Linked DNA regions of Arabidopsis thaliana. The protein of the gene in region 1 interacts with the protein of each later gene in a pairwise test. Each region holds a gene or a part of one and is shown in the gene's direction. Other genes may lie near its edges.

Region 1 (5,828 bases):
TGCCGTGGGTTATCTTTTCCTCCAGCTTCATACATGTTTCTGTTCTGTTTCTGCTTCCATTGGCTATGTATTTTCTAAGTTCAACTCTATGTCCTTTTGTGTTTTGTGAAGGGGACTGCCATGACACTCATAAGCATAAGGACTGGTGTGTGACAGGAGCGATCTTCAATTACACAAACCAGTTAATGTCTGCTTCTGAAAACTCACAGAATATAGTCCACTGTGAGTTAGATTTTAAGTGAATCTGATACTTCTTTTAATGTTTCAGTTTACTGATTTCTGTGTGAGTACATCGATCATAATAGTGTGACTTAGAAGTCTTTTTCTTTCTGTTCTTGGCAGACAACTTGACAGAGGCTCTCTTGTTCTTGTCACATTATATGGGAGATGTTCATCAGGTTAGTCCTTTTTGCAAATTCAGTCGAATCATAATATTACAAACAAATGCTGTCAGAGTTATATGCATTTGAGGCTACTACTCTATCTACTCTGGACTCTGGAGGTTTGATTAGTGTATAGTAGCAACACAAGAGTATGGCTAATCTTTATGTGGATTATGATTTTCGCAGCCCTTGCATACTGGTTTTCTTGGAGATCTAGGTGGTAACACAATAATAGTCAACTGGTACCATAACAAATCAAATTTGCACCATGTAAGTGCTTTGTTTTTTAGTCATATTGATGCTAAAAAGTATCTTTCCTGACACGGAAGTGGAACGATCTTAACTTGAAGGTCTGGGACAACATGATAATTGACTCTGCTCTAGAAACATACTACAATTCAAGCCTTCCACACATGATTCAAGCTCTTCAAGCCAAACTCAAGGTACAATCTTGCCTTCTCTAATCAGCTTCAGCAAGTTATAGCCGTATCCAAGATAAACACAACTTACATTGAGTGTTTGTTGTTACGTCTGTCTTAATATAGAACGGCTGGTCGAATGATGTTCCGTCGTGGAAGTCATGTCACTTTCACCAAAAGGCCTGTCCAAATCTGTAAGCAAGCATCTATATATCTGTTAAGTTGCTTAATAGCAGAGAAAACTTAGTTTTCGTTACCATATCATTGTTGATTCTCTTTGTTCTTTGATGTGTTAAAGGTATGCTTCTGAAAGCATTGATCTCGCCTGCAAGTATGCTTACAGGAACGCTACTCCGGGGACTACTTTAGGAGGTATACTTACTCTATGAAACCAGATCGTGGCTTTTTGTTTTCTTTAATCATGGACATGACTTGATCTTCTGCTTTCTCTGCAGATGAGTATTTCCTTTCTCGGTTACCCGTTGTAGAGAAGAGACTTGCACAAGGTGGGATTCGCTTGGCAGCTACTCTTAATCGTATCTTTTCTGCAAAACCGAAGCTCGCAGGATTATGAATCTAAGAAAAAGATCCTTGAGAACCCACGTAACAACTCCTTTTAAGTGTTTTTTATAACACTGTGAATGGTTGAGTCATGACTAATGAGTGAACCTCCAAAATCTTCATGCAAAAATTTGTTATTTTGGGACATGGTTCAAACTTCCAATAACAAACCACACTAACGGATAACACTTTGCATTTTTTTTGTTTGTTTTCAGTTTTGTTAATTAGTATCCTTCTTCTTATCTTATGAAAAAGGTAAGTTAACATAAAGGAGTAAAATAGAAAAAGAAGTTAGATTTCCTCATTAGATTAGGAATGATAATTCGCTATATAAAGATTTCAAGTGAGACATAAAAAGCCTAAGCGCAAAACACACAAAAAAGAGTTTCTTACGTGAAAAGCTACTTAAACCCTAAAAGAGAGAGAGAAAAAAAAAGCAAAGCCGACACAGCTAGCGCTCTCGGGTGCACTTCCACAGCAATGAACGGAGAAGAGCCACCTTTTAAAAGAAGACGGATGAATTTTCTTATGCTTCCTGATGATTTGGTTTTAAACTGTTTAATTTGGCCCGCATCTCAAGATAGTACTATCCAACTCTCTCTTTAGTATCCAAGAGATTCCGCTCTATCCTTACTTCAACGGAGCTTTACCAGACCCAAACTCTCTTAGGCCGCACCGAGAGTTGTTTGTACGTGTGCTTAACGCAGATTACATATGACGCTTCTAACCCACAATTAATTTGGTTCACTCTTTGCCGCAAACCAAATAGCTCAAAAAAGATTTTAATCCCAATTTCATATCCTAAATCTGCATCATGGTCGGATAGTGTAGTGGCTGTTGGTCCTAATATCTACGCTATTGGGGGATTCAGTAATAATAGAACTAAACCTTCGTCTAGCGTCATGGTCATGGATTGTCGTACTCACACATGGTGTGAGGCCCCTAGCATGCAGGTTTCCCGTGTGTTCCAATCTACTTGCGTCCTTGATGGGAAAATATATGTAACAGGAGGCCGCGGAACTCTCGATTCAACGAAATGGATGGAGGTTTTTGATACGAAAACCCAAACTTGGGAGTTTTTGCAATTCCCGAGTGAGGAGAAGATATGCACAGGCTATAAGTGTGAGAGCATAGTGTATGAAGGAACTGTCTATGTAAGGTCGTATTTTCATAATGTGACTTACAAGCTGCATAAAGGTAGATGGATAGCGGCAGACTTAGCGATGAATAATGGATGGCGTTGCTCATCATTTTTTTGTGTGATAAAGAACGTGTTCTACTGTTGCAATAGAAGTGGTAACGGTATGATCGATTGGTATGACTCGGAAAAAGGATCATGGACAACTATGAAGGGGTTGGAAAGATTGCCTAAAGTTTATGGTAATGTTAAATTGGCATATTATGGTGGAAAAATGGTGGTGGTGTACGTGGAGTGCTAAGGAGTGGGGTAACGTGAGAAAAATTTGGTGTGCGGAAATTACGATTGAAAAACGCAAGGATGGAGAGATTTGGGGGATACTAGAATGGTTTGACGATGTATATAAAGCCAAGGATGAGCTAGAATATTTAGCTGTAGTGCATGCTGTTGTTACTACCATCTGATTGATAAGAGAGTCATGTGAACATTGTTCATTGATTCACCGATGCAATAACGAATTTATCTACTATCATTTGTTTTGATTTTCTTTCTAAATCTTTTTTGTTTGTTCTTGTATTGAATTTTACCTTACATTTATTAAGAAAGTCAACTATTTGTCAACGTTACTGGAAAGTTAAAAAGGTAAAAGTAATAATAATCTGAGAGTTAACTTTGGACATCTTCGCCGGAGCCGAGACGGAAGGCGTGATGGAAGAGATACAACAACAAACGCAGAAGGAAGAACAAAAGCACCGTGAAGAAGAAGAGGAGGAAGAGGAAGGTCCGCCTCCGGGATGGGAATCTGCAGTTCTTCCTCCTCCAATCGTCACCATCACCGCCGCCGTAAACCCCAATCCCACCACCGTAGAAATTCCCGGTATTCTTGTAGTCTTGTCTATTTTAGGGTTTATCGATTTGCTTCCATTTCTTGCTACAGTCTGATCAAATTAGAGATTTTTAGTGGAGTTTGTAGACTTTTAGAGATAACCCATTTTCGATTCCGAGAATTGATTAGTGTTTTTTTTCTGCAAATCTTCTTTGTTTTTGGGGTTGTTGCAGAAAAGGCCCAAATGGTATGTGGATCTTGCAGGCGTTTGCTTTCTTATCTAAGAGGATCCAAACATGTTAAGTGCTCCTCTTGTCAGACTGTTAATCTCGTTCTTGAAGGTTCGTTCTTCCATGGCTTTTTTATCTCTTATTCATTACTTGAAAAGCTTTTGTTGATAATCTCAGTCACTTGAAACTCTTAATGGAACAATCTTGGAATGCTCTCTCAGTCTAGTTTTACTTAGCATGTGTGAATGATATATCTATGTTCTTTTGAGAATCTCAAAATGTAAGCTTCCTGAGACCAAATGAGTTTAGTTCTTAACTGACACAAGAATGATCTTTGGTTAGGATTCTTCTCTTAAGCTTTTGTGAGCCTTTTGGTCTCTACTCCATCATAATGTCTCCTTTGTAGACCATTTATGTGGTCTTTATCCTTTACTCTTACTACTCTTGGGGAAATTGTGTGATCTTAAGACCAAGATTGTTCTTCTTAGCTTGTGAATCACTTGGCCTCATTATTGATGAAATAGCCTTCTTCTCTTATCGGTTCTGGACTTGTCGTTCTTTGTTTGCAGCTAACCAGGTTGGTCAGGTGAATTGCAACAATTGCAAACTGCTACTGATGTATCCTTATGGAGCTCCAGCTGTTAGATGTTCCTCCTGCAATTCTGTCACAGATATCAGTGTATGTATTCACAGATGGTTTTGTGCTCCATGTCCAAATCATACTTGGAAGAGTTGATACATTTTGAGATCCGAGTAAGTAATCATCTGATGAATCATTTATAATAAACTGTGTTATATTTCAGGAAAACAACAAACGACCTCCATGGTCTGAGCAGCAAGGACCACTCAAAAGTTTAAGCAGTCTCAGGAGAGCAGAGAATTAAACTTGAACCGATTTTTGTCAATTTTGAACCGGTTTGACGACTAAAAACCTTGTAATAATGTCGAAGGATAGATGAAATAAAATCACCATTAATAATCTCATTGAATTCCCATTCTTTCAGATATTACTTGCTCATCATCCTTTACTGTTTTAAGCTTTAGTGGTTAAAAAGAATGTGTATATATCCATACAAAAGTTGATATATGTACTGGACCAATATAAACAAACACAGCTCACAGTCTCACACAATACATAAAAACAAAATTCATATTTCACAGGTGAGAAAAACTAACTAGTAGTCTACTTGGCCGAATTTGTCAATGAATTTCAATAATTAGGTCGTATAAATAGCAAACAAAACATGGACTCTTACCCAACCAAATATGCATAAATAATTTACATTACAGTTTCATATAAAATACAAACTAATGGTGGGTCCTCGAGAGAGCTAACAAGAGCTGTGTGTGGGTGAAGAACCAACTTGTCAACGAAACCAATTTAATGGAAATCAACCCTAAATTTAATGAAACCTTGGACGAAACTTACATTTTGTTAACCAGTTTATCCTTTTAAATCAAACCTGCATAGATTTTGATTTAAGACTTGAAAGTCTTAAATGATATGGTTGGATTGAAATAATGAGTGGGCCTTATAGAACAGATTAAATTATGAACACCACAAGTTTCTTTTTTTGTGCGAGTAATAAAACAGTTGCTTAGAAATTTGTTGTGTTTATAAATAGACACTATTATTAACACACAAATTTTTGAATTTTTGGCAGATGGTTACAGAGAATACCAATTGTGGATTTCATCCAAACTTTAGGTAATTAATCCTTTATTTTTTTTATCATGAACACATCTGTCAAAAGTCCTCCACTATCAAATCTTAATTTAAACTATCTGTCGCTCTTTGAATAACACATGCTTAAATTAAATGTCGCCAACGCCAAGTGCTGCTAAATAAAAATATTTGAACAGTCTCTCAACTAGTTACGCAAGTAATAGAGACTATAGAGAAAGACACAAGAGTCTTCTTTGCAAAGTAGAGTAGTAGTACGGGCATTAAAGTGATTGTATTACACACTAAAGTCCACGAATCATTGTCTTAACTGTATTTTCATACCTTCCAATTTAATGCTCTTCTCTATCTTTATATATCATCCAGCTTTTTATTTAATCTCCTCAACCAAACCCACTAAATATCTACATTACCAAAAATGTTCACAAAATCTATCCTTTTGGCTTCTCTTCTTATCATCATCCTCGTCTCTGCAACTGAATCAGCTCGTCAAAAGAGCGGGAACGATGGTTTAGGATTCGGTGGTGTACCCGGATCCGGATTTATACCCGGGTTTGGAAACGGGTTTCCGGGGACTGGAGTTGGTG
Region 2 (5,664 bases), on another chromosome or scaffold:
GAGAGTAGAGAAAGATTAACTACTTTTGCGATGAATTGGAGCGTTCTCGTCTGGGAAGATCATTTGTTGAAGAGCGTTCATGTTCGCCATATGGTTTTAACTGTGAATCATCAAAGAACCAATTGCAGAAACGAAGATTTGATTCCAGAACTGACGATTTTAAGCAATTAGAAACCCTAAAAAAGGTAACAGAAACCCAACTCGAAATCGAAACAAAGATCGTTTTTTTCACAAAACCCAATTCGATCCTCAAGCAAATTTAACACCACAGACCCCAGAAACCCAGAACGAATCAAGTAGCGACATACGAAAAGAAGAACAAACAATCGCAAGAAGAACAGTCTATAATGTGAACCTAAATCAGAAGGAAGAAAGAGATTACCTTTGTAAAAGTGAAGAAGTTTCTTGGTGAGATTCTTGTTGGAAGAGAAGTGTATAAGAAGATGAAGAAGAGCGCTTAGAGTGTTTAACGGTAACTTTTCAATGTTGTTCTGACGAAATAATGAAGAACCTCCGGGATTAGGCCAAAAAAAGTAAATTTATAGAAGAAGAGAAAAAGTTTCTAGCCGTTGGCAGAATATTTTAATGCAGGCCTAATCAAGAATTGGCCCAGGTACAGGCCCATCACATAAATCAAATTGACGGCATCAAACTATCATGTAAGATAGAAGCAAAACATGTCACACTTCTCTAAGTTATCTTCTTATCGGCTAGATTTATCATCATCCTTGATTAAATCTCCTTAATTTTGGAAGGTTAAATTATAGGTAAAGTGTATATAATTAGTCTAACCAAGGATATTCAACGCTTCTCGTTCCTGTTCCTTATATAAAACCATTATCCTCACATAAAGAAGACTTAACAAAAAAAAAACTCTTTTCAAAACACATTAGAGACAATTAACAAGAAAAACCCTTCTAATAATTTGATCAGAGATATGGGTTTTTCGCACAAGTTGTGGGATGAAACTTTGGCCGGTCCAACGCCGGAAAATGGTCTCGGGAAGTTGAGAAACCACATATCCGGTGAAAGTGCCAACCGGAAGTTGATGGTGGATCTGAAACGTGTCCCGAATTCTCCTGACCGTTCAAGCAACCCCGTTTCCCCTTTGACTCTTATGTTACCTTTTTTAAAAATCCTTTCTGATCCACTTTTTTTTTATCTTCTATGCTTGTGTTATGAGCAGTTAAAACCCTATATATTCATGTAAATTAAAGACTTTGCAAGGTGATACATATGTTCATAGTCATTATAAGCTTTTTTTTATTATTTTTTTTTTTTATTTTGACATCCATAATCATTATTAGCTTGAGAGTATTATGGATTTGTAAATTAATGATTACCAAAATCATTTGTATGCAGCTGGAACACCAAGTGAAACACATGCTACAAGTCTCAATGCTTGCGATTGGTTTGATCTCCCTCTCTTTTCTTTCCTCTCAAACTATACTTCATTTTATCCAACGCATTATCGCTTTCATTAGTACCACCATATCTAATTAACGTCCGGTAATACTGCAGGATTGTGCTAAACGCATTGGACCGTTGAAAAATATTACAAGGTATTTCTACGAGAAGAAGAAGTATCCCAAACTACTTTTCTTTGTATATATATATTTGCTGTGTACATAACATAATGGTCGCTTTTGGTGTTTTGAGATTTGAGAAATATTAAATTTCTGTTTGTTTCACAATTCACGAAGATTATATAAGGTCTTTTTGAAACATAGTATTTCTGGAATGTTTAAAGTTGTATCTTTGACAATGGTGAAAAGAAAAAATGATACTAAGTGATAACATGCTAACGTAGCGTATGGAAAGCCCAATAAAAACCCATGCCCAAAGTAAATAACATCCACGTCACCGTTCTTATTGTTAAAAGAGAGACTAATTCGAATCGATTTAACGAATGAAGCAAGACAACGAAGGAAGACAACTGGAAACTATCGACGGACTAAAAAAAGTCTACGACCGATATTGAAACTGACGGTTAGGCTAAGGGTAATTTCGGTACATCACCGGAAAAATGGTTCACGGGGATAGTTCCGGTAATTATAGTAAAACTAGATGGGCTTTTCCGTCAATACACTTCCTCATCGGATTACGAAGAAATGGGGAAATTACGATACAAACCCATCTTTTACCCCTAAACCGAGCCGGCAACTTTACCGGTGACGGAATCTTACCTCTGACCTACCAATCACGTCATTCCACGTCATCTCCCCGTATCTTCTCACGTCCTTCCACGTGTCCCCTCTACTCACCGACGCCGTCTCCTTCCCGTTTACCCCTCCCGAACAGAATATTAACCCAAACCCTAACCCTATCTCCCTCTTTCACGAGCTTCTGACTCAGATCCGGCGATATCGAATTCCATGGAGGACGATGAAGACATCCGATCTCAGGGTTCCGATTCACCTGATCCGTCTTCCTCCCCGCCGGCGGGACGAATCACGGTTACGGTGGCTTCGGCAGGTCCGCCTTCTTATTCTCTGACTCCTCCGGGTAATTCGTCGCAGAAGGATCCGGATGCGTTGGCTCTGGCGCTGCTTCCGATTCAGGCCAGCGGTGGAGGGAATAACAGCAGTGGGAGACCAACCGGCGGCGGCGGGAGGGAGGATTGTTGGAGCGAAGCAGCTACGGCTGTGTTGATTGATGCGTGGGGTGAGAGATACTTGGAGCTTAGCAGAGGGAATCTGAAGCAGAAGCACTGGAAAGAGGTGGCTGAGATTGTGAGCAGCAGAGAGGATTACGGTAAAATTCCCAAAACTGATATACAGTGTAAGAATAGGATCGATACGGTGAAGAAGAAGTATAAACAAGAGAAGGTGAGAATCGCTAACGGCGGTGGCCGTAGCAGATGGGTGTTCTTCGACAAGCTTGACCGTCTGATTGGATCAACGGCGAAGATCCCGACGGCAACTTCTGGAGTCAGCGGTCCTGTCGGAGGATTGCATAAGATTCCTATGGGTATTCCAATGGGAAGTCGTTCGAATCTGTACCATCAGCAAGCTAAGGCTGCAACACCGCCTTTCAATAATCTTGACCGGTTAATTGGAGCTACGGCTAGAGTCTCAGCTGCTTCTTTCGGTGGCAGTGGTGGAGGAGGCGGAGGAGGATCTGTCAATGTACCTATGGGAATTCCGATGAGTAGCCGTTCAGCTCCGTTTGGACAGCAAGGGAGGACTCTGCCACAGCAAGGTAGGACACTGCCACAGCAACAGCAGCAAGGGATGATGGTGAAAAGGTGTAGTGAGTCGAAACGCTGGCGTTTCAGGAAGAGGAACGCTTCTGATTCAGACTCGGAATCTGAAGCAGCAATGTCAGATGATTCCGGTGACAGTTTACCACCTCCTCCTCTGTCGAAGAGGATGAAGACGGAGGAGAAGAAGAAGCAAGATGGTGATGGAGTGGGGAACAAATGGAGGGAGCTGACTCGGGCAATCATGAGATTCGGTGAAGCTTATGAGCAAACAGAGAATGCGAAACTGCAACAGGTGGTTGAGATGGAGAAAGAGAGGATGAAGTTCTTGAAGGAGCTTGAGTTGCAGAGAATGCAGTTCTTTGTGAAGACTCAATTGGAGATATCACAACTTAAGCAGCAACATGGGAGGAGAATGGGAAACACCAGTAATGATCATCATCACAGCCGCAAGAACAACATCAATGCGATTGTCAACAACAACAACGATTTGGGTAATAACTAGAATTTAGTGATGCAGTGTCGTAATTGATATATTTTAGATTTGAGTCTTTAATTGTTGAAAGAGAAACTGAAACTTATCTAGGCTTCATGAGTGTATTAATATTTTGCATATCTTTCTTAACTTTGGTCATATGGAACAGATTTAACTTCACTAGATTGCCTGAGATCATTCTGCTGCAGACTCTTGTGCACGTTTTTGAACTTCTCTTAATCTCTGAGTTAGATTGTGTTTCACTAGTTAGGTTAGAACATGGCATAGGACATTTTTGACACAATCCAACCGCAAAATCTTAAAGCTATGTTTGGTTATTATGACATTGGAGATTTGCATGTGTACCTAAAAGCATTTTTTTAACTCTTTTTCTTTTGAGTAATTGTTTGAGCTAGATTTTCTTGTGTCTGAAGCATCATTCAAACCACCAATGATGATCTTCTATAAAAGAAGAATGTTAGGCAAGAAACCTTTTCGTTGGTCTGTTTATTTATTTTTCTATGATGTTTGCCTTTTGGCATTTTATAGGTACTAAACAAATGACAGTCAATTCAAATTCATTACACATAGATGTTTCTCACAATTTTACCTTCCGCACTAAGCTAATATTCATGTATCGAAAGGTGAATCATGATATTTGAGTAAAAATACCATCTTCCGAGTCCCACCGTAACATCATTCTAACTTGCACTATTCTTATTTTTTTTTGAAACGAATACAATAATGAAAACGTAAGAAATAAAGCATCTTGAAATCTTCTGAATTTTGTTTTTGTTTTAGGTAGAAAAGAGTTTGATTCCAAAGGTCCACGTGTGTTTAGACATATAGATTAGATATTATCTAATGATATATTGGTATCACTAGGATTACTAATCAAGATTTTTCCTTAGTAAAGTTCAAAATAAAGTTTTTTTTTTCAAAATAAAGTTTTTTTTTGGAACTAAATCTAGCAATAAAAGTAGTGATTACTAAAGAAATAGTAAATTATTAATGTAACAAATGAATATTCTTTTTTTTTTTTTAAAGTGGGCAAGAAAAGATACCAAAAAGAAAGAAAGAATTGGGTAGGATTTAAAGCCATGTCTCCATTATAAATATATAGTTAGGGTCAATTGTCCATTAAAATTAAAGAAGAATAAAGAGTGATATCCTATAATTAGATATTTTTTCAGGGGGTCCATCATTTGATTTAAAGTGTCTCCAAAAGTTGGAATAAAAATGGTTGGTGTTAATATTATTAATTTTCAGTAGAGTAGAATAAGCTCTAATTTAAATACTTCTTTTTGTCAGCATCTATTTAGTACAGTGTTTATTTAACATAATATACATTTTGCACATAGAGATTTTACTCTAAAACAGCGAATCGTTGTTACTCTTAACGTTAAATATTTGGATCTGAAAGGCAAAGTACCAATATACCCATTTGTTCCTTGGCCCATCTGTGGGTAAGAGACTAATTTACCCCTCCAATTTATATACTTCACAGCAATAAATTCGAAGAATAAAAGGGTATTATGGGTAACTAACGAAAGCCGTTTAGGATTCGGCGAGACCTGTTTCCGGAATTTCGTAATTACTGCCGACTTTCTTTGATTTTTGTTTAATTTAATATTTCAAATTTTACGCTCTATTACTCTCTTTTTTTTTTTGTTTTGTCATCGTATACGCTACTTCACGTCAACAAAAATGGTGATTTTTGTCTGAAGAACGTTTATTTCTTTCTCTTGATTTCACTTTCTCTCTCTAAAGTAGATTTTTGACAAAGATAGATTACGGCGGAAGGAAGGAGACACACAATGATGGGAGAGATATTGAATCCATCAGCGGAAGTGAAATTAATTACGAAGTTGACTTGAGAGTTTTGAGTGAAGCCAAAAACAGAAGAAAACAATCTTCATTGTTAGGGTTTTAATAAGCTTTAAGAAGAGGATGCTGAATATAGAAAGCAGAGAAAGAATCTCGACAA

What was found.
Region 2: the proteins of LOL2 (region 1) and ASIL2 interact in binary tests that used the Arabidopsis thaliana proteins (3 or more experiments, as listed by UniProt).

What each region holds. Positions count from the first base shown.
Region 1 is NC_003075.7:11,485,860-11,491,687, forward strand, and holds LOL2 (lsd one like 2), read left to right. Parts: upstream 1-3,116; 5' UTR 3,117-3,209; coding exon 3,210-3,378; intron 3,379-3,560; coding exon 3,561-3,668; intron 3,669-4,126; coding exon 4,127-4,236; coding exon of another isoform or gene 4,237-4,293; exon of another isoform or gene 4,294-4,360; coding exon 4,361-4,441; 3' UTR 4,442-4,564; downstream 4,565-5,828. Other genes in the region: ENDO5 (endonuclease 5), read left to right, coding at 1-4, 112-222, 343-398, 570-653, 734-826, 929-996, 1,101-1,174, 1,258-1,376; AT4G21620 (glycine-rich protein), read left to right, coding at 5,660-5,828. UniProt on the Arabidopsis thaliana protein: Putative zinc finger that may be involved in programmed cell death and defense response.
Region 2 is NC_003074.8:4,705,333-4,710,996, reverse strand, and holds ASIL2 (sequence-specific DNA binding transcription factor), read left to right. Parts: upstream 1-1,820; 5' UTR 1,821-2,375; coding exon 2,376-3,707; 3' UTR 3,708-4,195; downstream 4,196-5,664. Other genes in the region: AT3G14190 (uncharacterized protein), read right to left, coding at 24-90. UniProt on the Arabidopsis thaliana protein: Transcription regulator that may repress the maturation program during early embryogenesis.